Arabidopsis thaliana: one gene and its partner. The protein of the gene in region 1 interacts with the protein of each later gene in a biochemical or structural test. Each region holds a gene or a part of one and is shown in the gene's direction. Other genes may lie near its edges.

Region 1 (12,312 bases):
GCTTCGGATTTGCATAGTGTAAAATTGTTTCACTATGTCTCTGAAAAGGGAAAAATGAGTGAAGATGGATTTTGGAAATTATTGAAAACACTACTATTAACTATAACATGTTTTGGAACTACAAAATTGTCCATGTACTGTTCGGATAAATACGAAACCAAAATTTTTGTACTATTTACGTAAAAGTCTCATCTACAAATGAATGAAGCTCACCAGCAGAGATACTCTAATCGATGTAAATTTGTTGTTATATGTATATGTAATTTTCATATAGTATATTGCTATGAGAAGACAAAAGATCGAATCATTATGATGTGGCTAGTAATATTTGTTTATATATGTGATGATACAAATTGGCGGTATCAAACAAACTCAAGACCGTTAATATAATCAAACATTTTTGTTTCCTTTCTAATAATAAAGAAAATACATGATTAATGATAAACAACAACGACACTGAATATTAAGATATCGGTAAGTACCTCAAGATCTCACTTAGAATTTGTCTCATTCTTAAATATAATTCATAGAGTCAGATCCAGAGTACTCTCCTGACCAATCTTAACCGTCCGATCCTCTTCATCTTTCATCAGTCGGCTCTTTTTCCACGAAGACGACCCTGGACATAGCGACAAGGACAACGTTTGATCCGTTGTTGTTGCTGCTGTTTCTGTCTCTTCCAAAATTGTCTTCTCCGGTTGTCTTAGCTTAAGAGATAGATCAAGATCAATGCTCCTACTTGCGTCTCTTTTGCCATTTGTCTTGCTACAATAAGAATGATTAGTGTTCTCCTCAACACCGTTATGGAACTTTTGAAAAGTTCTTGAGTGTCCTTGAATGCTGTTGAATGTGACTGAATTGGTCCGTTCGTGATGATCGTGTCGTAGTTTCGGAAAGTGATTAGAAATTGAAGAAGAGTAGATGTTTTGGAAAGACTTGTTGTTAGTCCAATAATCACTACCACGGATGTTATTGCTAACCGACGCGTTGCGGATTAAACCGGGCCTAATTTGGTCTATCAAACTCCTTTCTGTTCCTTGAGAGCTAGAGTTCCACAAAGAAGCATTTGAAATTTTACTTCCATATCTACCAAAAACAAAAGAAGACAATTAATTTAGTTTCCGAATAAATATAATTAAAACGGAATATCATTCAAATTAAGGAACACATAAAATCTAAAATTTTCAAAAAAAAAAGTTATATCAACCTGAATGGAGAATCATGGTTATGATTATAGCCTCGGAACATCGGTAGCTGACTTAGTTTATAAATATTTCGATCTGTGGAAGTCTCGAAGAGATGTTTGTGACCAGCTATAGCTGCCAACAATTCAAACCCCACTTTATTGGCCTATACATGTATAACTTGATAACTAACTAATGAACACAAATAGAAAGAATCAATACCTTGACCTTGATCATCTATCTTCTTGCTTCTGTACATCTAAAATTTTCCAATACACAATTTAGTGATTTCTTTTTTTTTCTAATTTCAGAGATTATTTGAAACGAAATCGAAAATACAACACATATATAGGTACGTTTTAGATGTATGTAGATCAAATACCTGTAGATGGCTCTTGACATGAGCAATACTAAGCCCTTTGATGTTCATCATCTGACGAACCAACTTTGGAGTTGCTCCTATACATAACCAAACATACACATTAAAAAAAAGAAAATCACATGAGGTTTTGACCAAATAGTTAACCTAAGAATAACTAAGAAATTGCTTATGCTTTTATATATATGTGGAGGAGGTGATGAAAGATGAAGTTAGTAGCTATGGACGTACTTTCTTGACCTCCAAGCCTCTCAACGGCGCGGACAAAGCGAAGATGAAGATCAGGAGTCCACCGGAGTCGAGGGACTTTAGATCTCACATAAGGCCTAACCTTAGTCTTCTTGTCGCTCTCTTCCACTGTACTATTGCTTGAAACCTTACTCTCTTCACCTTCTTCTTCTTCTTCCTCTTCCTCCTCCTCTTCTTCTCTGTTAGTCTTCCCGCCTCCCTCCATACTTGGAATCATTATTACTTCTGATGTTACAAATTCAGAAGAAATATAGAAAGAAAGTGGTAAACGATAGAGAAGTTCTAGGCTTAGCTAGATATAGGTTTTGGACGATATGGATAGATCAATCCTTTGGTTTGATATGAAAGAGATAAAAGACCAGATGAATTCTGCTTAGTTCAAAGCATGGAGATTTTGTCTGTGAACCCTAGATCAAGATACACTTCTGATTCTCTCTCTCTCTCTTCCCGGAACATGTAGACAAACCCTCACCTAAATCTTGTTGCATATGTTAAAAAGTTTTCTTTTCTGTTCACAGCTAATTGATTTCGGCCCTTTTCTACTATAGACAGCTCTATATATAAATAGTTGTATATTTTAATATGTGGATGCATATTAATATCAACCATGGAGGGAGAAAACTATTACTCCTATAAATGAGATAAATTGTTGTTTATACCCTTAACATGCCAACAAATTACAAGTAACACTTATTCTATATTATTGTTCACCAAAGGCTAAGATGAGTGTGATAGAAATTAGGCTCTATATATAGCATATTCTTAGTAGTCTTAGATTGCCTTAGTTCGTCAAACAAACATTTCGATTACAAAGATCGATATAGATAAAATTCATGTATCGGGACTAACAGTCTATGAATGAATTAGTTAGTATAAGTAAGACTATTTACAACAACAACAAAAAAAAAAAAAAAAAAAAAATTAATAATTATAAGAAAATAAGAAAGATATTAGTATAGTTGAGACGTTATTTGAGTTTAGAAGAAAACAAAAAAATGAAGAATTTTAAATTTTTTGATACCGTGATGCAGTTTCCAGGAAAAATAATTAAATACAAAATCGAATTCACAAAATTATAATATACCTCAGAGTAGTTTTGTCGGAATTAGGATCATTGATGATCGAGATCATTGTCTTTTTCTTAAGACATTTGGTTTAAAATTAATGTTAACTAAACTTTCTTTTCCTTCTGTTTTTCTTTTTGTTGCAAAATAATTTTTGATCCTCAACGATTTAAAAGATCCAGTACGTGACATGAATCAATTTATACAAAATATTAATTTATCGAAGTGAACTATACTTGATGGATTTTAAATCCTCTCATTTCTATTGATATAGCGATCAAATTAGTTAGAAAATTTATTTTTAAAATCAACCTTCTAATCTTCTGAGTACTTTTTAGTATTTAGAAAGTGATAAATCACAATACTAACTAATATATTGATTAATGGGTAGATTCATATATATTTATCTTTAAAACTTTTTGATGAGATTATGAGGTTTAGGGTTTTGCGTGGAATTGAATGCTAAAGGCAAAAAATGGAAGAGCGAGAGTGGTAGATAGACGAATAAATTACGATTACAAGGCGTGTGACTGCTCAGCTGTCTTTGATGTAGACCACATCATCACACATACCTCTTTCTTTCTTTCTTTTTCTGTTTTTTGTTCGACGAGAATCACGGGACAATGCTCCTCTCTTACCCCAAAATTATATATTATCTTTATATGTATTTTTGTAGATTCGTATGAGAGAATTAGTTTATGTGTAAAGTGGTCCTTGCTTGGTTTACGTTACACATCCGACCCCGTGAAGCGATGAATAGCGTTGTTAGTTGAGCCGTTTTTTTACATCGTTCGTTCCAAAAATATGTAATATTAACATACATAGTTATAAAATTTGACACCGTATAAATCGAAGTCCTATATGGTTTAATTTTAATTGCAAAGAAAGTCTTTTTAGACGAGTTTATGGTGATTTTTGTAATTACGATTTTAGTCATCGTAAGCCATTGAATACTACCTCTTCCGCATATTTCGACAATTAGTTTGAATATTTACCTTTACCACTTCTATTATGAAAACAATAAGATAAATACATTCTCACGTATATATGCTTATGATATAATATATTTTAGATCCAATTATGCTTTCGAAGTCCTCTTGGAATTCCAAGAAATATGAGCACTCACAAGATCAGTTCTATTAACATGTCTAACAAATTGTACTGTTTTATTTCTACGTAAATTTCAATCATAAGTTTTTGGTGCATCACGAAAACAATATACAATACTGTTTTCCAGTTGTATATATCTACTATAGATTCGGGTACATGCCATCCAATAAAACTTCGTTGCAGAATTAAATGGAGATTATGAGTTCATGAGATTAAACTATAGGCTTAAGTTCATATTTTCCAGTTAGTAAATAAAATTCTGCTAGCCAAACAAAAAAAGTTGTTCCCTACCAAAAAAAACAAAAAAAGTTGTTGAGGAGAGGAAATTGTAAGCTTTGATGAAGTAGAAAAAAGAAGAACTTTGTCATTCCCCCCACGTGTAAAGAGACTTGCCATCGATCCTTCACAAGCTTCTCGTCACCACTCCTTTCTTCTTTACACTTAATTTCCATCTTCCTTCTGCTTCTACACGTCCACATGCAATTTTGCACCGAGAATCCTAATTTGTGTCCTTCATTTTAAAGGTTTAAAAAGCATGTTTATAAAAACATGGAACTGGATGGTTTGTGAGATATGCCATCAAATTAGACAAAAGGGTCCATTAAGCCTGTGAAAAAAAAAGAAAAAAAAAACTAAGAGACGATCATAAGAGTTAGGTGTGACCTGACAAGATTCTTGTACACCCGAACCCGACTTGTGAACTGTGAAGTCAACCTCTAATTAACAGTTATTTTTTATTCCTACAAATACGGATCCAACATTATTCTCAATTAGTTGAAGTAATGTCTGTCTATTTGCACATTTTCAAACCCATAATCAAACAAAAGTTACATATCCTGACCCGCTGACCATATTATACACTCATCTGTGTATATCTCAAATCTCACTTGCAGGTAATTCTCTCTAGTACTTTTATGTAGATATATAGATATTAGTAGAATGTTAGCAAGAAAAGATGTAAAACATATATATCAACTATATTAGAACCCGTCCTTTGTGCGAGTTTTTGATTTTTATGATAATTTTAAGTTAACAAAAACTGAATTAATTTTGCTTTATATATTAAGATGTGTGTGAAGCTCAATACACAATATTAATCTATTCTTATCAAAAAAATTTATATTCAAAATTTACAGCAATTATAAAGAACTAATAGCATTGTATTATGACTTATCATTAAGATGGGGTTTGTGTCCATGTCCGGAGTTGTTAAAGGTTTGAAAACCCAGAGTTATGAATGTAAAGAAACAAGACAGAATGCTTGAAAACAGAGCATCAAGTAAATGTTTTGTGTTTATATTATTATGCAGCTAAAATGGAACCGGTGACGGCATTCCAACTTGGCCAATGGATGTCTAGACTCGCTATATTCTTCAAGGCAGACGACACATTCTTCCCCAACCTCGAAATTGAATTCCTCGACGGCAACAAAAATATATCTTCGAACGTTTTGTTGTGTCTGATCAGCCAACTCCACATCTTTAGGTAAACTCTAATATCCTAGAGAATAATAGAAATCTATAATACTAGTTACAATGTAGAAGAAGAGACAACCTATAACGAAGCTAGATACTATAGCCAACGTAACCAAACCAAACAACAAAAGTATGTTGTGATAGACCAGTTTTTCTTTCCAAAATACGGCCCAATTAAAAGTTTGGTTCTAAAAACAATTTGGGCCTTAGTTTGTATAGTTTAAAATGTGTTTCTTAGTGAGGATTGGTTTTTCATGCCCTTTTGTTTGTGTGCTCCTTTTTTTGTATATTGAAGATCATATCAAAGCAAAAGCAATACAATACTTTTCATTCAAAAAGTTCCTCCTTCTGCTTGTTCATCAAATCTCTCAGGTAATTAAATATATGGTTGTACCACTTTTAGTTTTGTGGTATTCGGCTCTGATGTTGAATACTTCAAATATCTAGATTTGCATCTGATGCAATTGAAAACCTTTTTTTTTTTTGCAATTGAAAACTCATATATATAGTATGGCTAGATATATGCAATTGAAAACTCATATATCTAGCCATACTATGAAATAACAATTGAAGAACTTCTAAGTTGAAAGAATTCTCACTTTGTATGTTTTGATGAATTTGATCTTACATTCCAATCGTTCCAAATATCGAAACTCTTAAAGCGTATTCAATCAAACGAATCTCGTCCTAGATATACCTTGGTCATTTCAAGAAGAAGAGAAAAAAGTTATGGTCAAGAAACTAAAAGTCTAAACCCATATTATAATTCTAGTGTTGATATACGAGAATTATATATTGGTCACTTGCCCAATTAAAAATATCGTGTATAGAAAACAGTCAAGTCAACAACTATAGCAAGGGGCAAAACCGTAATTTCACAACAAGCAACTTGCTCGGTTTTTTCGTTATCACCACTCACATGAACTCTGCATTAAAAACTCTATCTCTCTCAAATCGAAAGGCACAGCCCAACTTTTCGCAAGTCGCTGTAAAGTTTGATTTGCTTCTTTTTATATACACACATACTTCTCCTCCATACACTTTCCTCTTCAATCCTCAGTTTTTTTTCTAAGCCCTAATACCATCTCAAAGAAGAGATCAAGATTTGAAATCAAGAAGACACCATTACTCAGATCAACATGCTTGCCGTTCACCGTCCTTCTTCCGCCGTATCAGACGGAGATTCCGTTCAGATTCCGATGATGATCGCGTCGTTTCAAAAACGTTTTCCTTCTCTCTCACGCGACTCCACGGCCGCTCGTTTTCACACACACGAGGTTGGTCCTAATCAGTGTTGCTCCGCCGTTATTCAAGAGATCTCCGCTCCAATCTCCACCGTTTGGTCCGTCGTACGCCGCTTTGATAACCCACAAGCTTACAAACACTTTCTCAAAAGCTGTAGCGTCATCGGCGGAGACGGCGATAACGTTGGTAGCCTCCGTCAAGTCCACGTCGTCTCTGGTCTCCCCGCCGCTAGCTCCACCGAGAGACTCGATATCCTCGACGACGAACGCCACGTCATCAGCTTCAGCGTTGTTGGTGGTGACCACCGGCTCTCTAACTACCGATCCGTAACGACCCTTCACCCTTCTCCGATCTCCGGGACCGTCGTTGTCGAGTCTTACGTCGTTGATGTTCCTCCAGGCAACACAAAGGAAGAGACTTGTGACTTCGTTGACGTTATCGTACGATGCAATCTTCAATCTCTTGCGAAAATAGCCGAGAATACTGCGGCTGAGAGCAAGAAGAAGATGTCTCTGTGATGAGTCTTTGTCGTTGTCGGGTAGTTTCGTTAGATCCGACGTCGTTTTCTAGATTTTTAGCCGTCGTGTGATCTATGTTTTTTCGGCTTATGTGTGAAAAAAAAGTTACATTAGTGAATTAATCTCTCATGCATATCATAATCCTTCTTTTAATTTTTGTATTTTACATATCCCATAAAGAACCGATTTGGATAGCCCTATTCCGGCTTTCACCACCCAAAGATAATAATATTCAAACTGAAAGAATGTGGTTGTGTTGTCCGCTAATTAAAAGTGTGATTTTCAAGTTTAATTAATCTTGTTTTTCTATAGTTTCATCAGAAAAAGCGTAAATGAAATGGTACAATATGATGTTCGACTCGGATGTATATTAACTCGTTACATTGAGTTGTTGGCCATCTAATGTGTGTAGATAAATTTACGTACGTATAAACAGCTTTTGTGAAATTCGACGATTTTTCTTAAAGGCAACTTTAAATTTGGGCATAATATAATGTGTTCCTTTCCTCTATGATTTAACTAGGTCCTCAAACTTTTTACTTTCTTATTATTTCATAATAATTAAAATAACCGATTGAGCGTGAAGTTGTTATTTAAAAATCAAACATTTGATAGAGAATTCAAGATTTGAAGTTTTTATTTGTCATCATAAACTATTTGGTAGAAAATAGGGAGTAGTTGGGGATTTTCAGGCTTAAAGGTAATTGCGTAAAATGGACAAAACATACATGTATACAAAAATATGAACATGGCCGTCAAAATATAAAAAATAAAAAACGAACATGTTGATGAATTTAAAGAAATAAAAATTTGCAAGTGGACGATGCTTTGAATGATAACCCAACAAGCCAAGCTGTTCTCTTCTTCTTTTTTTTTCCCGCTTGATATAAAGAAAATGCAAGTTGCAATTTTTTTTATCTTTTACTTCCTTTCTTTATGGTTCTTCCCAATCCAAAAGATATAATATTAAATTTCGTATAATAATAAAGAAATATGGAATAGAGAGAAGCGCAAGTTGCATGTCCTTTTACATCACGAGAGTCACGATATGTTTCGTTTCCAAGTGATCTCTTAGAATATAATTATATAAATGTGTTTTTTTCAATATATTCGAGAGGTTTCTACACTTCTATCCACAAAAAGATATGTGATTGATCGACAAAACATGAATCGTATGAAATGAAAGATTTCATTTTCCTTAGATCTAAAACCTTCTACTTCTATGTTTGCAATATCATTATCGAGGTTCACCACTATGGTTACGTAACCATCATCACTACAAAATTTTCAGTCGATAATAGGAATAGCATAAAAATACACAAAATGTTATAACTTTCAATTACTAATTTTTGTGGTCGTCAAATATCGACAAATATAGCATAGCTTTACTAATCATAACTTCATAAGATACATACTTAATGTGGCCACGAAAGGTGTAAAAACAAAAAAAAGGGATGGGAAAGAGTTGGCGGTGCAAGTGGAAGTGGGGTAGCTGCGATTTTTTTGCAAGTTGGGCAAAACATATTAATTGTGATTTACAAATTGATGAATTTTCTTATTTCTCAAAACATAAAAATGAAAGTATATGTGCCTTTGCGATCCATCACGCCACTGTTTCCTATAATTTGATTGGACCTCTGCCCAAATTTCCGATCGTTGGAGAAAAGGAAAATAAAAATAAAAATCGAATATAAGTGTATATGAATATAATTCACAAGTTGCCACATATTAGTATATCGCTTCTTGTTATATAAAGAGGCTTCATGTGATGCTTCTAGACCGAACCACCTACATCGGCGTATGGCCATAATTGTAGTTGGGGTCGGGTTAAGGTAATTTATCATTTGTACTAATTCATAATTCTTTTTATTTTCTGTTATAAATATCATCTGGAAGGTCCAAGGCCATAAGTATTGACGAATTGTTTAAGAATCTTTCCAATAGCCTTTTTAATACATGGCTTTTTTGTATCATGGAGTTGAGTCATCCGTGTTATAGGACTTTTAAAATACCGATTGCAGCATGTTTTCGATGTGAAAAATCTGCATTGGTGTATTTGTTGATTTGTTATAACGCGTAAAGCATGCAATGTATGCTTTTAGATGGTAAGTTAACTTGTAAAAATATCGATCTGCTAATGTTAAGTTGTGTACAAGAAATACTATCCACAAAAGCGTATAGAGACAATCGTACCTAACCTAACACAATGTAACAAAATTTGAAATTAGTTTTGTAACTTAAAATAAACCCCCCAAAAGAAAGGTTTAAAACTTCTTTTTATGGGCCTATAGCATCCGCCTGTATGCCCAACTGGACCCGGTCATTTCTAAGAATCGCAATCCCAACCTACGTGTAATAACTAATAGTATGAATAGTATGAATTTCACGCATGCACGACGCATTTTTATTTTCTTTTACGCCACACACGACACATTAATAAGGTTTAGACAACTTTTTTTGATTCGTGAATGCCTTCTTTGAGAAAGATTGTGTTAACTATGTGTATATCGTTCCAAGGTTATTAGATGTAGTCCAAAATAGATCACATAAGTTATGTATTTGTTTAAGGTTTGCGCACCAATGATATTGTTGCATATCGAACCAGTTGGTGAGCCGGAATGGAACTTAATTCTCATCAACTCCACTATGGTTATATAAAAGAAATTGCATATGTAACTATATGTAAATTAATGGGTGAGATTGTGAGACTCTTAGTGAATTGAGAGAATTTTAGAGAGAGAACAAAATTGTGTTAGAGAAACATATCAACCAAAAAGACATTTGAACCAAAAATACAAGTGACTGGTTTCCATATGTGATAGTCTCCAGTATATGCATCTAAATCAATTATGAACCAAATTCATCATTAAAATGGGCAAAAATGTGTTTGGTCGCGGGAAGACCCGTCTGTCATCCCTATTCTAAACTTTCAATACAATTCGTTAAAAAAAACTTAATTCTAACTAATTCAGAGTAAGATAGTTGAAAACTATACAACAAAAAATATAAGAAAATGATGAATTTCTACAATTAACAAACTAAAACATAAACTATCAAATAGAAATAGATGTATCATGTCATAGAATGAGATAAATGGTTCACTATTTGATTATTGATTTTTTTTTTTTTAACACGACTATTTGGTTATTGATTATGTCAAAAACATTAAAATAATAATTTTATAAAATAATACGATATATAATGTTTTATTAGTTTTATCTATCCCCCTACTATAACAAAAACTTATAGAAATATATAAACATATAGAAGAAGAAAAAAAGACAGAACATATAGAAACAAGAAATAAAATTATACTTTCAAAAACTACGAAGCAAGGAAAATCGAATTTTGAGGTAACTTGAAGGCAACGAATAGTATGAATGTGGAAACGTCAACAACTTAACCTTACGTTTACATATTATATTATTTGACCATCTCTAACCATATTTGGATTATGAAAATCCAAAAGGGCGCTCGCAAATACCATAGTGACCCCCTGTGGCCACACCTTTCTCAGATGTCTATTATGCTTTATGAAGAATGCCAAGGGGGTTTCTCGGTAACACCAAATTAATCGATAGTCGCCTTCACTTGCAAACCAAGAAAGATACGAAACTACACCGAGAAAGTACAATCTTATTTAAATAACCAAAACAAACAACTTAGTTTTGTCTGACCCACTAGGCCACTACTTCTATTCGACAACTTTAAAGTTGACGATACATATACAATTCCTGACTCAACTGAGAACGACAATGTACAATCACACAACGCTGGTCGAACTTAGGAGCCAATAAAACACTTGAGTCGTGACATGAAACACACGGCTACAATACAAACTTCTCTCAATTATTTTTTGTAAAGACCGATTATTTGCTAAGCAAGTCCTAGACAAATATTTACACACAATCGCTATAATATTTAACAAGAGATCACGGTCAGATTAAACTACAGGTCGAATGATTACGGTCAGATTATAGACGCAGCGTCGGATTTCTATCTCATAGAGTCTTGACATAACTTTGTTTCCTAGAGTCACGACCTTATTTCACGTCTATTGGCGAAATAACTTCAATATATCGCATTCACAATGGACATACTTTTTGTTTTTGTTTTTTGTTGGGAGTGAATTTCTTCTTATCCAAGAGCATGTTAATTAATGTTTTAGAGTGACTTTGACGACAATAGTTTCGCAAGAATTAATAATTAATGTTTAGTAACTTAATTTTCCAAAACATTAGAATCCTACTTTGTATATGTTTCAAACAAAGCACAATAAGTATTCAAAGTTAAATCTCAGAGTTCAAATTAAGCCTTTAAGATTTTGTCTTGAATAATTAGCTTACCTCTCTAATCATTAATCAACTTAGGAAAAATATTATTTTTCAAGTAGTGGGCAATTGCTTGGCAAACTGTCAACACAAAAAGTTTTAGAATTTATATTAGGAAAATGATTCATAAATGTATATATAGACAGCTACAGAAAATTGATTGACCACCAAACAACAAAATAACTTCAAGAAGGCTGGAGTTAAAAGGCAAGTAAGAGAAAGACACATCAATATAACCCAAAACAAAACATCATAACAGCAACAATAACAGACACATAACCAATGGCAAAGCGACAACTGTTGATGCTGGGTATTAGAACTAGCTTTCATACTATCGCCGCCGTGCTTGTGGCCGGATTAATATTCACTGCCGTGTTTTTGTCCAGAAACAGTTTGCCAAAGGAAAATCCTCAAAGCCACGGTGTTACGGATCGCGGAGGGGACAGTGGCAGAGAATGTAATTTGTTCGAAGGGAAATGGGTATTTGATAACGTATCATACCCTCTTTATAAAGAAGAAGATTGCAAGTTCATGTCTGACCAGTTGGCTTGTGAGAAGTTTGGGAGGAAAGATCTGAGTTACAAATTCTGGAGGTGGCAACCTCACACGTGTGATCTTCCCAGGTTTTTTTCCTTCTTTGTCATTTTCACTTTCACATTTTTACATATGTCTTTCCTTTCTCTATCTATGGCCATTAGTATAAAAGTTTATACTATAAAGATGTTACATGTCGCATTATCTCCGCTGCTTATATACT
Region 2 (13,342 bases), on another chromosome or scaffold:
ATGTTTAAATCAACAAGAGTAAAAATGTTCAACACATGCTTTTAATTTTTATCAATTTATTTCGCTTATATTGTTTACGATTGCCATTTATTTTAAATATGATCACTTTCGTGTTCCTAAGTGCAAATTACTCAATAATCTATACACATTATTTATAAACAAGAAACTGCTAATTTTGGATTAGTGAAACTACAAGTGGTTAGTGTGCCGTCTTTAATCATTAATCTAATATTAACAAGAACAGAGAACAAGTATATGTTCGTTGCATCACATACAGAATCTAAGAACAAGCACCACATAATTATCAATTAAATTAATCAATCCAATGAAACTTCTTCTTAACCCTTTAAAAAAACAATTACTAGTCAATAAAATCACTTCTAAATTCGCTATTTGCACATTTTATTCAAAATGAATTATATATCTTTATTAATGTCAACCCCTTGAAATAATATAGAACATTCTTTCTAATATTTTTCTCACAATTATATCAATTAAAACCTTCAAAATTATCAATAAAACGACCATATCTTAAATTTCACAAAAATATAAGTCCCAACATAACAATTTTTTCGAAAAAGACTTTTCTAATAAAGTAGGCGCTTTCAATTTTCACAACAGTCAATAAATACATCACCCACTTTTTCTATCCAAGTCAACTAAAAACGCGGGTCTTCTTCTCCAAAACCCATTTCCTCACAAAATCCATCTGAGAAAAAGAGCAACAAGTTTCATTTTCATGGTGGTGATGACGAACAAATTCTTCGAATTAATCGGCGGAGCTCCGTCGTATTCTTCAGTATCCGTCGCTGTTAAAGGATCCGTCGGTGACGCCGTAGGAGGAACTGCTAGTCGTCGTGCTCTTCGTTGGACAATCGAAAATTTCCTTCCTAAAATCGATAGATTAGTTCTTGTTCATGTCATGCCTACAGTTACTACTATTCCATCTCCTTGTAAGTCTCGATTCGAATTTTTTTGTTAAATCAATTTCGAGATTCATGAAAATTTAACACTAGTTTTTGTTTGATTTAAAAGCTGGATCGAAGATTCCAATAGAGGAATTGGATGAGAGTGTTGTGTCTATGTATAAACGAGATTTGAGAAAAGAATTTGAACAAGTTTTTGTTCCGTTTAAGAGGATCTGCAAATCCAACAAAGTGAGTTTCTGTGAAAGCTAAATTTATGATACTGATTTTGGAAGTTTTGGAGAAGGCTTATGGAATAATTTTACTGGTTAAATGTTTAGGTTGAGACTTTGTTGTTGGAACATCATGATCCTGCAAAGGCTCTTTTGAAGTATATGTCAGATACTGATGTTGAGTGTTTAGTGATTGGCTCTTGCTCTTCTAATTTCCTCACAAGGTAATGTTACATAATGGGATTTGATATCTAGTATGTGTTTGTATATGGTATGATCTTGCTTAGACGTTTGGATTGGTTTTGACAGGAAAAAAGGACAAGAAATGCCATTAACGGTGCTAGGAGAAGCTCCAGAGACATGTGAGATATATGTTGTTTGTAAAGATAGAATCTTAACCAAATCGACGAATCAGTTTACCGCAGGTATGTTTCAATTGCATTGATCTAAAATCTGAAGTCAAGAAGGAAAAAAATACAAGTTTTATTGATTTCCCCTGTGGTTTTTGTTTCTGTGTGAAATTTTCAACAGATTCATCATCTAGTTTCCGTATACCAGAAGGAGCTGAAGCTTATACAGAATCTTTCAGTCGCACACGCTCTGATAAGACAGGGTTGTCTGCTTCATCTATAACATCTTCAGGCAGGATGAGAATTGGAAGGCCTGGCTCTTTACCGCATAGTCATCCGACCTCTCGAGTGTATTCTGATGCACAGTCTTCTTCAACTGATATTGTTTTGGTCGATGACGAACACTGTCGTTCTATCCTTAGGCATAGTACTGTTTCCACTAGTAAAATACAGATGGATCCTAGACCTCACTTAAAAACACCAAAGGTGAAGCATTTAATATATGACCATTTTGATTCTCTGTGACACAAAATGCATATGATTTTGATCCAAGATCTGTTTTTGCAGTCAGGTGTAAGAGCTGAGGTAGAGCAGCTAAGGAAAGAAGTGCAAACCACTCTTTCCATGTACAAACAAGCTTGTGAAGAGCTAGTTCATAAACAAACACAGGTTGGAGTTCTAGAAGAAAACTTTTTTTGTTCTCGAAATCCTTTCCTAATGTTTTTACATCTTATGGATTCATAAACTCAATCCCATGTTGTGACCTCAGGTCCAGTCTCTTTCCTCTGAGTGTATCAAAGAAACAGAAAGGGTCATCACTGCTCTGGAAAAAGAAGAAATGCGAAGGAAAGCAGCAGCAGAAGAGAAAGAAAAGCATCTAAAAGCTGTAAAAGAAGTCGAGGAAGCAAAATCAATGCTAGCCAAAGAGTTCTGCGAGAGGCAATTAGCCGAGCTAGATGCTCTCAAACAGTCCATAGAGAAACAGAAAGTCATTGAGCAACTCTTCTTGAGAGACGGGCGATACAGAAAGTACACAAAAGAAGAAATAGCTGCAGCTACAGATAATTTCTCTTCCCGTAAAATAATCGGCGAAGGAGGATATGGAAAAGTATACAAATGCAGTCTTGATCATACCCCAGTAGCTCTTAAAGTTCTCAAACCTGATTCTGTTGAAAAGAAAGAGGAATTCTTGAAAGAGGTAAATTACTAGTAGTCTCATGGCCTAATAACAACAGCAGCCTTTAACACTCTGAGATCTGAAATCAACTATTTTACTTTGCAGATCTCAGTCTTAAGCCAGCTTCGTCATCCCCATGTGGTTCTTCTCCTTGGTGCTTGTCCTGAAAATGGATGCCTTGTCTATGAGTACATGGAAAATGGTAGCTTAGATTGTCACATCTCTCCCAAAAAAGGGAAACCATCTCTCTCATGGTTTATCAGATTCCGAATCATCTATGAAACAGCTTGTGGTTTAGCTTTCCTCCACAACTCTAAGCCTGAGCCCATCGTCCACCGTGACCTCAAACCAGGCAACATTCTCTTAGACAGAAACTTTGTCAGCAAAATCGGTGACGTTGGACTCGCAAAACTCATGTCAGACGAAGCACCAGACAGTGTGACGGTTTACAGAAACTCGATTATCGCCGGTACACTCTACTACATGGACCCGGAATACCAACGAACCGGCACAATCAGACCGAAATCAGATCTTTACGCATTTGGAATCATAATTCTCCAGCTTTTAACCGCTCGACATCCCAACGGTCTTCTTTTCTGCGTTGAAGATGCAGTAAAGAGAGGCTGTTTTGAAGATATGTTAGATGGATCAGTCAAAGACTGGCCCATAGCCGAAGCGAAAGAACTAGCTCGCATTGCAATCAGGTGTTCGCAGCTCAAATGCAGAGACAGACCAGATCTTAGCACACAAGTCTTGCCTGCTCTCAAACGTATTCTTGAATCTGCAAATAGTAGACTCAAGACAGAACAAGCTAACGCACGAGCACCAACTCACTATTACTGTCCAATTCTTAAGGTAAATCGAATAACCGATGCACACCAACCACAATTCTCGATGGCTCAGGTTTTAAAATGTTTGATTCTGGTTGATTGTAGGAAATAATGGAAGATCCACAAATAGCAGCAGATGGATTCACATACGAACGAAAAGCGATAAAAGAATGGATTCAAAAACATCAAGATGTGTCTCCTGTTACTAAGCATCGGCTCAAACATTCTGATCTTACACCGAACCACACTCTCAGATCGGCTATACGAGAGTGGCGATCTCGTTCACGCTTAGACCTCTCCACTACTCTTGGCTCCTACTGATCACACTAATATATATACAGTCTAGTCTAATTCGTATATTGACTAAATACCCTGAACTTGTTTGAATCGGGTGTATCATCTCTGTGAATATGTATTGTGGTATTATATAATAAGTCAACAAGGATTTGGTTTGCTTTTTGCAGTTCTATATGAAGAGCATTTACAACTGATAATCAAGTGAAAGTTTAGAGGATTCATCTACAAATAGACTCAAATCAAACTTGGGTGAACTCAAGAGCGTTTGCGTCTGGATCACGAGTAAATATCGCTGGCCTCCCTGACTTACTCATTGTATATGCAATTCCTACAAAATCAAAAAATCTTCTTCAGAACGAAAGGAAACATCCTTTAAGCCAAAAGAAACTAAGAAGAAAGAATAAAAAAATATAAACTACCAGCTTTGTCTAAGATCTCTTTCAGATTTGAAACATCACGGATTGCAATACAAGCGTGTCGATCCCGGCCTCCGTGCTCGGGTCTACCTGTTAATGGATCTGGATTTGGAAGCTCCATAAGATGAATCATTTCTGAACCTACCCATAACCATGCTCCTCTATATGGAAGCTTGTCGTGAGGCCTTGCTTCGTTGATCTCAAGGCCTAAAATGTTCTGGTAAAACTCGAGTGACCGTTCTAGGTTCTCGCAGAGCAGACCGACATGATGAACCCCAACAACTCCATAATCTACAATAACAATCAACAATCAAAACTGGTAATCCGAGCTTAGTGTCTATAGATAAATGGTGACATTTGCTTAAAATGTTGTAACCACTAACCAGCAGACAATCAACACAATTACTTATTATCAGTTAATTACCGGTTTTGTTGTTAAGCTCTTTCTCTTGTACAACACTAATCCCTTCAATTGACGATCCTTGTGCCTTAGCCTTCAAGCTATAAAACCTAACATTGATCCTTTCTTTCCTCACACTCTTCTTCTGAAACTCAAACCGCTCTTTCGTAGAGAGATTCGTGCAAATAACCTTCCAAATACCAAAAAAGATTCATCATCAATGATCAATCCAAGGTAAAGTAATCGATTTTGAATGATACTCACAATCCTAATTTCTCCTTTTAACTCAATTACTTGAAAACTAAAGAAAAGAAGCCCTTAATTGCCAAATTTACAAGATTAGCGTCTAGGACTATCTCAAGATCATCCAAAAGGTAAGAACCCTAAACAACAATTTCTGGAAATCGAGTAACCTAACGCTAGGAGTGAATAAAGAAGCTTATTTGTTTGATACCTTTGGTCGTAAATCAAGTGAAGCTGAAGAAGGTCTGAAAATAGAAGCCATGGAAGAGAATCTTGGATTAGGCTCTCAACACAGGAGCAAGAGTTTTTTTTTGTCTTTAAAGTAATGATTTCATGTTTTTTATTTTCTTTATTGGCCAAGAAAATTAAGGAGAAAAACAAAACCTGAGCCACTCAGCCACATAATCACTGGGAAAATCAATTTCGTATTGTCTCGAAAAATATAATTGTTTCAACGACAACAAAAAATCAAACATGCGGTGTGGTGGCAAAAGTCAAACGTTTATTTAATGAAAGTTTATCAGAGAATCGATGGGCCTAGCCCAGTCCAATAGGTGATTCACGTCTCACTATTTTTGCAGCTTCACAAAAATGGTAAGTTGGTAACTTACTATTTCGAGCGAAAATAACTCAGTAATAACTTCCAGATTCGTCAAATTTCTCTTACCTTGTAATGAAGTTTAGATGTTTTAGCTTTATGTATAAAAATTTAAGAATATGGTCTAATTTTATATAATTTTCTTATTATCATTTTGTATTTGATATCATATTGACAAAATTTAACAAATAGATATTAGTTGTACTTCTATGTGACCGCCACTTTATTCAATACTACCTTTTAAGTTTTAACAGATCCGTGTAGCAACTGATCATCTCAAAATATGTGACACATAGTATACTATACAATATGAGCTGGTTTTGTTTTTTATTTTATATCGAAAGATATTTTACTTTATCTGACAGCTGCGAGAGATCCTAAAAAAAATGAATTAACTTTAAAGAAATTGCATGCGTCTATCTATCTACGTATATCTCAAAAATAAAAATAAAATCAAGGTCACATGACTCATATCCAGTGAATAAAAAATATTCATGAAATCGTAAATAAATAAATAAAAACAGAAATTCATATATACGTTTTTAGTTATATAACTATACGATTGGTTCAGTGTATTTGTTGCCCAACCAAAGCTACTTTCACTTCACATATCATTACATGGTCCAATGATTATGGAACACGTATTATTATTTTTGTTTAAAAACAAGTAAATAAATAAAACAGACACCAAATAAAAAAGGAAACACAAAGATATTTACGGAAGTTAAAAGAGAGGTGTTGTCTATGTCAGTGCAATGAACCTCTTCGGCTCATCTTTTCCCGCCATCCCAACTAACAGATCTCTCACCGTACACGCCATCCTCTTCACCAAATCTAATGACTTTCTCTCTGTCTACGTGGCGATCATCCGGTCTGTTTTCCGACAATAATGGGACCCATTTGATTGTTATTTCGAAAATGATTTTATTTTTCTTCAATATTGTTTTTTTCTTCAATATTGTTTTGGAAGTAAAAAGAATCATCTGTTGACAACACAACACTTCTTGCCTTCTCGAGTTTGATTCTCCTCCTTTCTGTTTTTGGTATCCACCCGATTGTCATTATTTTATTTTGAACTCTAGAACCAAAAATATCAGAGCAAGCTCTCTAGTCAGTAAATTTTGTAATTATTATAGTACCTCATTTTTATTAGTAGCATTAATGTACTAGTGTGGTCAGTGTAGATGAATATATTTTCTACTAAACTAATAAAAATTGTATCATAATTTGTATATTTTTTGGTGTTTTCATCTTTTACTATAAAATATATTTTTGTGACATATGGCATGTTACACTAAACAAAAAATAAAATAAAAGAAATTTGTTTTTGTATAAAATAAGTAAATTACGTTTTTTGTCGACCAATTTTGATTAAAGCTCAAAAGAAAAGAGCAATTCCTAAGAGATATTATTTTTATGTGAAATAAGTAAATTACTCATTATGTAAAAAGTTTGGATTTATCTTAAATCTAATTTCATAACGTTTAATGCAAGATATTTTGGTAAAATAGGAAACGTATAAAACATCTGTATTCAAAACTTCTATAAAGATACCCAATAATAATGGAGGGGTGACACGATAGTAAATAGAATAAGAAATAAAATTTAATCAAGTCAAAATAAAATAAATACCCTTTGTTTTTGTTTCCACAATTCCTTAAGTCTTTCTAATTACTTTGTTGTTCACTAAAACATCTCACATTGTGCTATTTTTTTTAATAAATAAAGACCTCTCTCTTTAAAACTGATTATCCCCTAAACTATTTGTTTGTGAGAAAGAAAGAGAAAAAAAAGTTTTTTTGGTTGGAAATTAATTGAGGGAGAGAGAGAGTTCAGAATCTCTAAATGGCTGAAACGAATTGCCCAGAATCCAGGAAACTCTGATTTTAGTCCTTTTTTCCTCGGGAAAACGTTTGCTTTTTCTTTTTTGTGTGTGTTTGGTTCTTTAATTGACAAATCTCTCTCTATCTGTTTCATGTGCTAGCTAAGGTTGTCTTCACTTTCCTCTAATGAGTCATGAGTTTCTTGTCTTCATCTTCATCTAATAAAGTTAACAACACTCTCATCAATTTTTATTATGTTCAAATCTGTCTGACTTTTCGTTCTTTTCTCTTACACCCAAGCGTTTTAACAATCTAACATCTGTCTCTTTGAATACTTAGATATCCAACTTCAATTTCTCTCCTTTCTCTTCCCAACTTTGATTCCTGATTTGGGTTTTTGTTAAAGTTCAAGAAAGTTCTTTTTTCTTTTTTTTTCCTCCTTTAATGGACGAAGTTTCTCCTGCAGTCGCTGTTCCATTCAGACCATTCACTGACCCTCACGCCGGACTTAGAGGCTATTGCAACGGTGAATCTAGGGTTACTTTACCGGAAAGTTCTTGTTCTGGCGACGGAGCTATGAAAGATTCTTCCTTTGAGATCAATACAAGACAAGATTCATTGACATCATCATCATCTGCTATGGCAGGTGTGGATATCTCCGCCGGAGATGAAATCAACGGTTCAGATGAGTTTGATCCGAGATCGATGAATCAGAGTGAGAAGAAAGTACTTAGTAGAACAGAGAGTAGAAGTCTGTTTGAGTTCAAGTGTGTTCCTTTATATGGAGTGACTTCGATTTGTGGTAGACGACCAGAGATGGAAGATTCTGTCTCAACGATTCCTAGATTCCTTCAAGTTTCTTCTAGTTCGTTGCTTGATGGTCGAGTCACTAATGGATTTAATCCTCACTTGAGTGCTCATTTCTTTGGTGTTTACGATGGCCATGGCGGTTCTCAGGTAATGAATCGATTTGGTTTCGATATGATATGATCGGAAACTGCAAAAACTTGGTTTTTGACATTTGTTTTTGTGTGTTTAGGTAGCGAATTATTGTCGTGAGAGGATGCATCTGGCTTTGACGGAGGAGATAGTGAAGGAGAAACCGGAGTTTTGTGACGGTGACACGTGGCAAGAGAAGTGGAAGAAGGCTTTGTTCAACTCTTTTATGAGAGTTGACTCGGAGATTGAAACTGTGGCTCATGCTCCGGAAACTGTTGGGTCTACCTCGGTGGTTGCGGTTGTCTTTCCGACTCACATCTTTGTCGCGAATTGCGGCGACTCTAGGGCGGTTTTGTGTCGCGGCAAAACGCCACTCGCGTTGTCGGTTGATCACAAAGTAAGTATAGATGTTTCTATGAATGAATTAGTACAATCATATATTCATTAGGACTTGCGGTTTTTTGTTATGGTGTTACCAATCATAGCATGTTTCTATAGATTAGTTAATGTACTTATAGCGTTTGGGTCTACATTTATGTGTAGCCGGATAGGGATGATGAAGCGGCGAGGATAGAAGCTGCCGGTGGGAAAGTAATCCGGTGGAACGGGGCTCGTGTATTTGGTGTTCTCGCAATGTCAAGATCCATTGGTAATTATTTAACTTTCTCTTGATAATGATCCATGAATTTGGTTCTTTTAGTTGTTTCCTTACATTACAACCCGTCGCGAACAGGCGATAGATACCTTAAACCGTCAGTAATTCCGGATCCAGAAGTGACTTCAGTGCGGCGAGTAAAAGAAGATGATTGTCTCATCTTAGCAAGTGATGGTCTTTGGGATGTAATGACAAACGAAGAAGTGTGCGATTTGGCTCGGAAACGGATTTTACTATGGCATAAGAAGAACGCGATGGCCGGAGAGGCTTTGCTTCCGGCGGAGAAAAGAGGAGAAGGAAAAGATCCTGCAGCAATGTCCGCGGCAGAGTATTTGTCGAAGATGGCTTTGCAAAAAGGAAGCAAAGACAATATAAGTGTGGTAGTGGTTGATTTGAAGGGAATAAGGAAATTCAAGAGCAAATCCTTGAATTGAAAAAGAAGGTTTGGAAGAAAAGTGAAAAAAAAAGTTTTGATGGTGGGTAAAAATTCTCTTTAGTGAAAAAAGAAAGATAAAACAACAGGTAATAATTACATTGTAATATTAATTTCCTGCTTAAATTTGTTATTTACTTTCTTAGTCTTCCCACCATTATTTAATCTTTTTATATTTATTTTACTAACATGATATATATAATGTACATGGGAATAGTGTAACTTCCAAACAAAAAGCCCCCTTGTATTTTTTTTTATCTTGGGGTTAGTTGTAATAACACTACATTCGTCTACGTAAATATTTAGTGTTATTATTTGATGTTTCATAACTTCTCTTTGTGTGTGTGTTTTCGTTAGAGTGATATAGTTTCAATAGTATTGACATCATTTTTTCATTACCAAAAATTACATTAGTCTTCATCACCATAATTTTTTCATTTTGTTTAAATCTACTAAACCAACCAGAATATGGGATGGTTGAATAAACGTCACAATAATTTGTAAATCCATGTGAATGTTTAGATTGTAGGTGATTGAAGACAAAATAATACATACTTATATCACAAGTTAATTGTAAAGTGGTGTGTAAGGCAGCTTTTATCCCCAAGAAAAATCATCTTTTTATCACATCAACATTATTCAACAATTACACAAAAAGGTAAATATCATATTTAAATGTGAAAGAATATAAATAAAATTAGTCTTGTGAAAAATTTAATCTCTTCGAATAACATTGTTTTATTATTCTTATTTCATAAAAAAGGAAAGAAGTAAGCGTTGGTTAGTAAAAGAGTGTTTTTTACTTTCTCAAGAGTTTCAATTTCTTCTTCTTCAGCTTTATACGCATTTAAAGCGCCGACGAAGTTGAACACTGAAGAAGAAAAAGAGGAGACGACACGATTTTTGTCTGAATTATCAGATTCAGATTTCGTTTAATCGCCAGATTCATTTCGAAAAATCTTGCACTAGATTCTCTTATCTTCGGTGAGCTCTCTCTGCGATCTTTGTTTTTTTTTCCGAGCAATTTCCGGTATTTAATGAAACGATGGATCGACGAATTGATTTATTTGTAAAGCTAATCCTGTAGACAACTGAGCTCAAAACATTCAATTTTTGTTAAAGAGACGAGTCGTATCTCGAGTTTGAAGTTTTCGCGGTTGCTGATTGATTTGATGGGGATTTGAAATTTATAGTGTGAGTTTTGGTTAGTTGCTGCTAGGGTTTTCGAATCACACTTTGTATTGTTGGTCTTGTGTTGATTGAAATGTATCTCTAGTCTTTGATTACTGCTTGTGAAATTCTGATGTTTTTATTATGATTGCAGGGAAATTGAAGATCTGGGTCATAAGCAATAGCTTAAAGCATGGACGAAAGTAATTATCTCTCTTGACTCTTCAACTATGAGCTTTGAGGTTAATTTTACTAGAATATTGAGTCACAGAGTTCCATTTATATCTAGTTACAGAGTTGAGTTGTGAATTTGTTTTGTCCTAGTTGAGATTGAGATGACTTAGATGAGATCACTAGACGACGTTGTTTCTCTCCTGTCCATTTTCATTTTTCATGATTTTGTTTGAGTGAAAGTGTTGGAAATGTACTACAAAGTTTTTAAAAGGAGGATATACACATATATATATGTGTTGCTTTGAACCTTCTTGGATATGTGTGCAAGTAAATATTGTATCTGTTTCATTGCAGATTCTAAATTTGTATCTGGAAACGGTAGAACCGAGCTGGTTAAATTCATTGCTGATAGGCATGCCAAACTCATGAAACAAGCCTCTCGACATTATTCCGCAATTAAAGGTTAGTACCACAACCTGTTTTACAAACTATTACCGCCTATGCACCTAGTCTTGTCATGTATACAAGTTCAGAAATTCTGATTCTCACCATCGAATATATTAAACGTAAGATGTGAAAGATGAAGCATTCATGTCAACACCTTCTTATCACTGTGAACTAAGTAAAAGACACTGTCTCTGTTTTTTGGTAGATGCTATGGCTCGTGGGAAAAAAAGATATACACTTGTAAAAGATGTAGACGACATGGAAACAGGAGCATATGACAAACCTCTTCCATGCTTTGGTTGTGGAATCGGATGGTTTTCGTGAGTACTTGTTCTCCTATTAATCCCATGTTATCTGTTTTAAGACCAATCCTGATTTAATCTTCATTTTGCCTTTAACAGCTTCCTCCTAGGATTTATGTTCCCATTTTTGTGGTACTATGCTGCATTCCTTTATTTCGGGAACTATTATCGTAAAGATCCTAGAGAAAGAGCCGGTCTTGCTGCTTCCGCAATCACTGTAAGTGCTTTCATACGATTCTATGTGTATGCATATTACTCTTAGAGATAGCTTTTGTAGTCTAACAATGTTGTTCTTGATTAAACGAAATAACAATGAATTCGATCTTAAATTGTTGCAGGCGATGGGCTTCTCTCTTGTCTTACTCGTGATTTTTGCTTTCCGGTGGTTTTACTATCCTTGAGATAAAGAAGTAACTATGTTAACTATCATTCATACCTATAAGCTCCGTGTTCATCAAGGAATAGTCTCGGAACTTGATGTCTCATGTACATTCACATAAACCAAATGAATTTCACTTCGATATTTTTCTCAAGTTGTATATTTTTTTTGTTGAATGAAAGTTTTTCAGTCCCTTACTAAGGTGGACCAAACTACAAGCCGTTTTATATATCCATAAAATCTTCAAGACGGCATGATGTGCAACTCTCAAAATGTAAAAACGGAGTATGATGTTTCCAATGATAGAGAGAGGTACGGTAGGTTCGTGTATCTTTTGTACTTATCAACAAAAGAGAAGTTTGATTGATTCGATTATTCTCAATCGCTAAAAGCTTCCAATTGGTTAATGCCAGGACAAATTTGTGGATCTCTTCCAAGTAATAATCGAATCATTAAGAGCTTTAATTGTTGATTTTATAGTACTAATCAATTACTACAATAAGACGACATGTAATACGATTGGATCATGTGGTATAAATCGCACGTGTGGGAGACAGACAGGCTGTCTGAAGAAACTTAGACGATACTTCCGATTCATCTAGCGTCTCTCTTTTCCCAGCCTGTCTCTTTCTCTTCTTCTTTTTATTTTTATTTTTAACTTTCATAATTATATATTTTATTTTCCTATTTTGGCTCGTTTCCAGACCAATATACAGGTATCTGTACCTAAACTCCAGATTTATGTCCATCTGTGTCCAATTATTTTAATCATCATTCTTTGTTTGCTATAAAACATTTCTTAAAACTGCATTTAGCAACAAAAATTTGAGTTTGAATCAGGTAGCTAGCTAAGACAATATCACTGTAACCAATTGAGTTACTAATTTAACACTCGGACAATTACTCAATTAGCAATAGTATAAGGGGTGGCTTCTTTAAAATCTTGTATTAATTCAAGGGTTGTTTGTGTTACATGATTTTCAATATGCAACTATCAGTAAATTACAACTCTATATGTTGAAGCTGATCACGGTCTCTTTTGATAAAGATACTTACAATTTTCTAAGTTTTGAGTCTTGAGAAAAAGACTGTTCAATGTTTGGTGGATTTGTCACATGTATGAACCATAAATAATGTTGATCTACTATGGAAACTATTGATTCGATGGCTCAGCAAATTTTTGGTTGGACAAAATACTTTTTTGATAATCACTTTTTCTTTCACTAACTTTTACCTGCCTACGTAAATCACCTGCAGATTCATTAATTTATGAGATATTAGAAAACCTTGTGTGATCTCTCGAAACCGATTTTCTCTTATATTATAAGCCATAATGTTTTCTTTATACGTAAATCGCTATCCTCCTTTCCTTTGGTTAATAGTTTTATAAGTATGATTTTAGTTAATGCTTACTTTTCTTTCTTTGGTCTTTAGGTTTAATAGTGGGACACTGAATATGAAAGTTTAGAGCCAAAATTTCAAAATATTAATAATATTTCTTTTTCACAGACAGAAAAGCTGGTGGCGAGGGCCATAATTTTAGGACTATCAAATTCTATATTTTCAAGCAT

Evidence for each region.
Region 2: the proteins of PYL4 (region 1) and ABI2 form a complex in vitro, tested with the Arabidopsis thaliana proteins (one study listed by BioGRID).

What each region holds. Positions count from the first base shown.
Region 1 is NC_003071.7:16,043,651-16,055,962, forward strand, and holds PYL4 (PYR1-like 4), read left to right. Parts: upstream 1-6,267; 5' UTR 6,268-6,600; coding exon 6,601-7,224; 3' UTR 7,225-7,706; downstream 7,707-12,312. Other genes in the region: AT2G38300 (myb-like HTH transcriptional regulator family protein), read right to left, coding at 525-1,086, 1,208-1,319, 1,407-1,443, 1,567-1,643, 1,795-2,029; TBL34 (TRICHOME BIREFRINGENCE-LIKE 34), read left to right, coding at 11,838-12,178. UniProt on the Arabidopsis thaliana protein: Receptor for abscisic acid (ABA) required for ABA-mediated responses such as stomatal closure and germination inhibition. Inhibits the activity of group-A protein phosphatases type 2C (PP2Cs) when activated by ABA. Can be activated by both (-)-ABA and (+)-ABA.
Region 2 is NC_003076.8:23,080,004-23,093,345, forward strand, and holds ABI2 (Protein phosphatase 2C family protein), read left to right. Parts: upstream 1-7,118; 5' UTR 7,119-7,716; coding exon 7,717-8,229; intron 8,230-8,311; coding exon 8,312-8,608; intron 8,609-8,754; coding exon 8,755-8,860; coding exon of another isoform or gene 8,861-8,883; exon of another isoform or gene 8,884-8,944; coding exon 8,945-9,300; 3' UTR 9,301-9,625; downstream 9,626-13,342. Other genes in the region: AT5G57035 (U-box domain-containing protein kinase family protein), read left to right, coding at 740-953, 1,036-1,157, 1,247-1,362, 1,448-1,563, 1,670-1,974, 2,056-2,157, 2,258-2,686, 2,771-3,520 and 1 more; AT5G57040 (Lactoylglutathione lyase / glyoxalase I family protein), read right to left, coding at 4,032-4,120, 4,212-4,499, 4,633-4,798, 5,063-5,113; AT5G57060 (60S ribosomal L18a-like protein), read left to right, coding at 10,961-11,105, 11,296-11,410, 11,492-11,609, 11,731-11,793. UniProt on the Arabidopsis thaliana protein: Repressor of the abscisic acid (ABA) signaling pathway that regulates numerous ABA responses, such as stomatal closure, osmotic water permeability of the plasma membrane (Pos), high light stress, response to glucose, seed germination and inhibition of vegetative growth.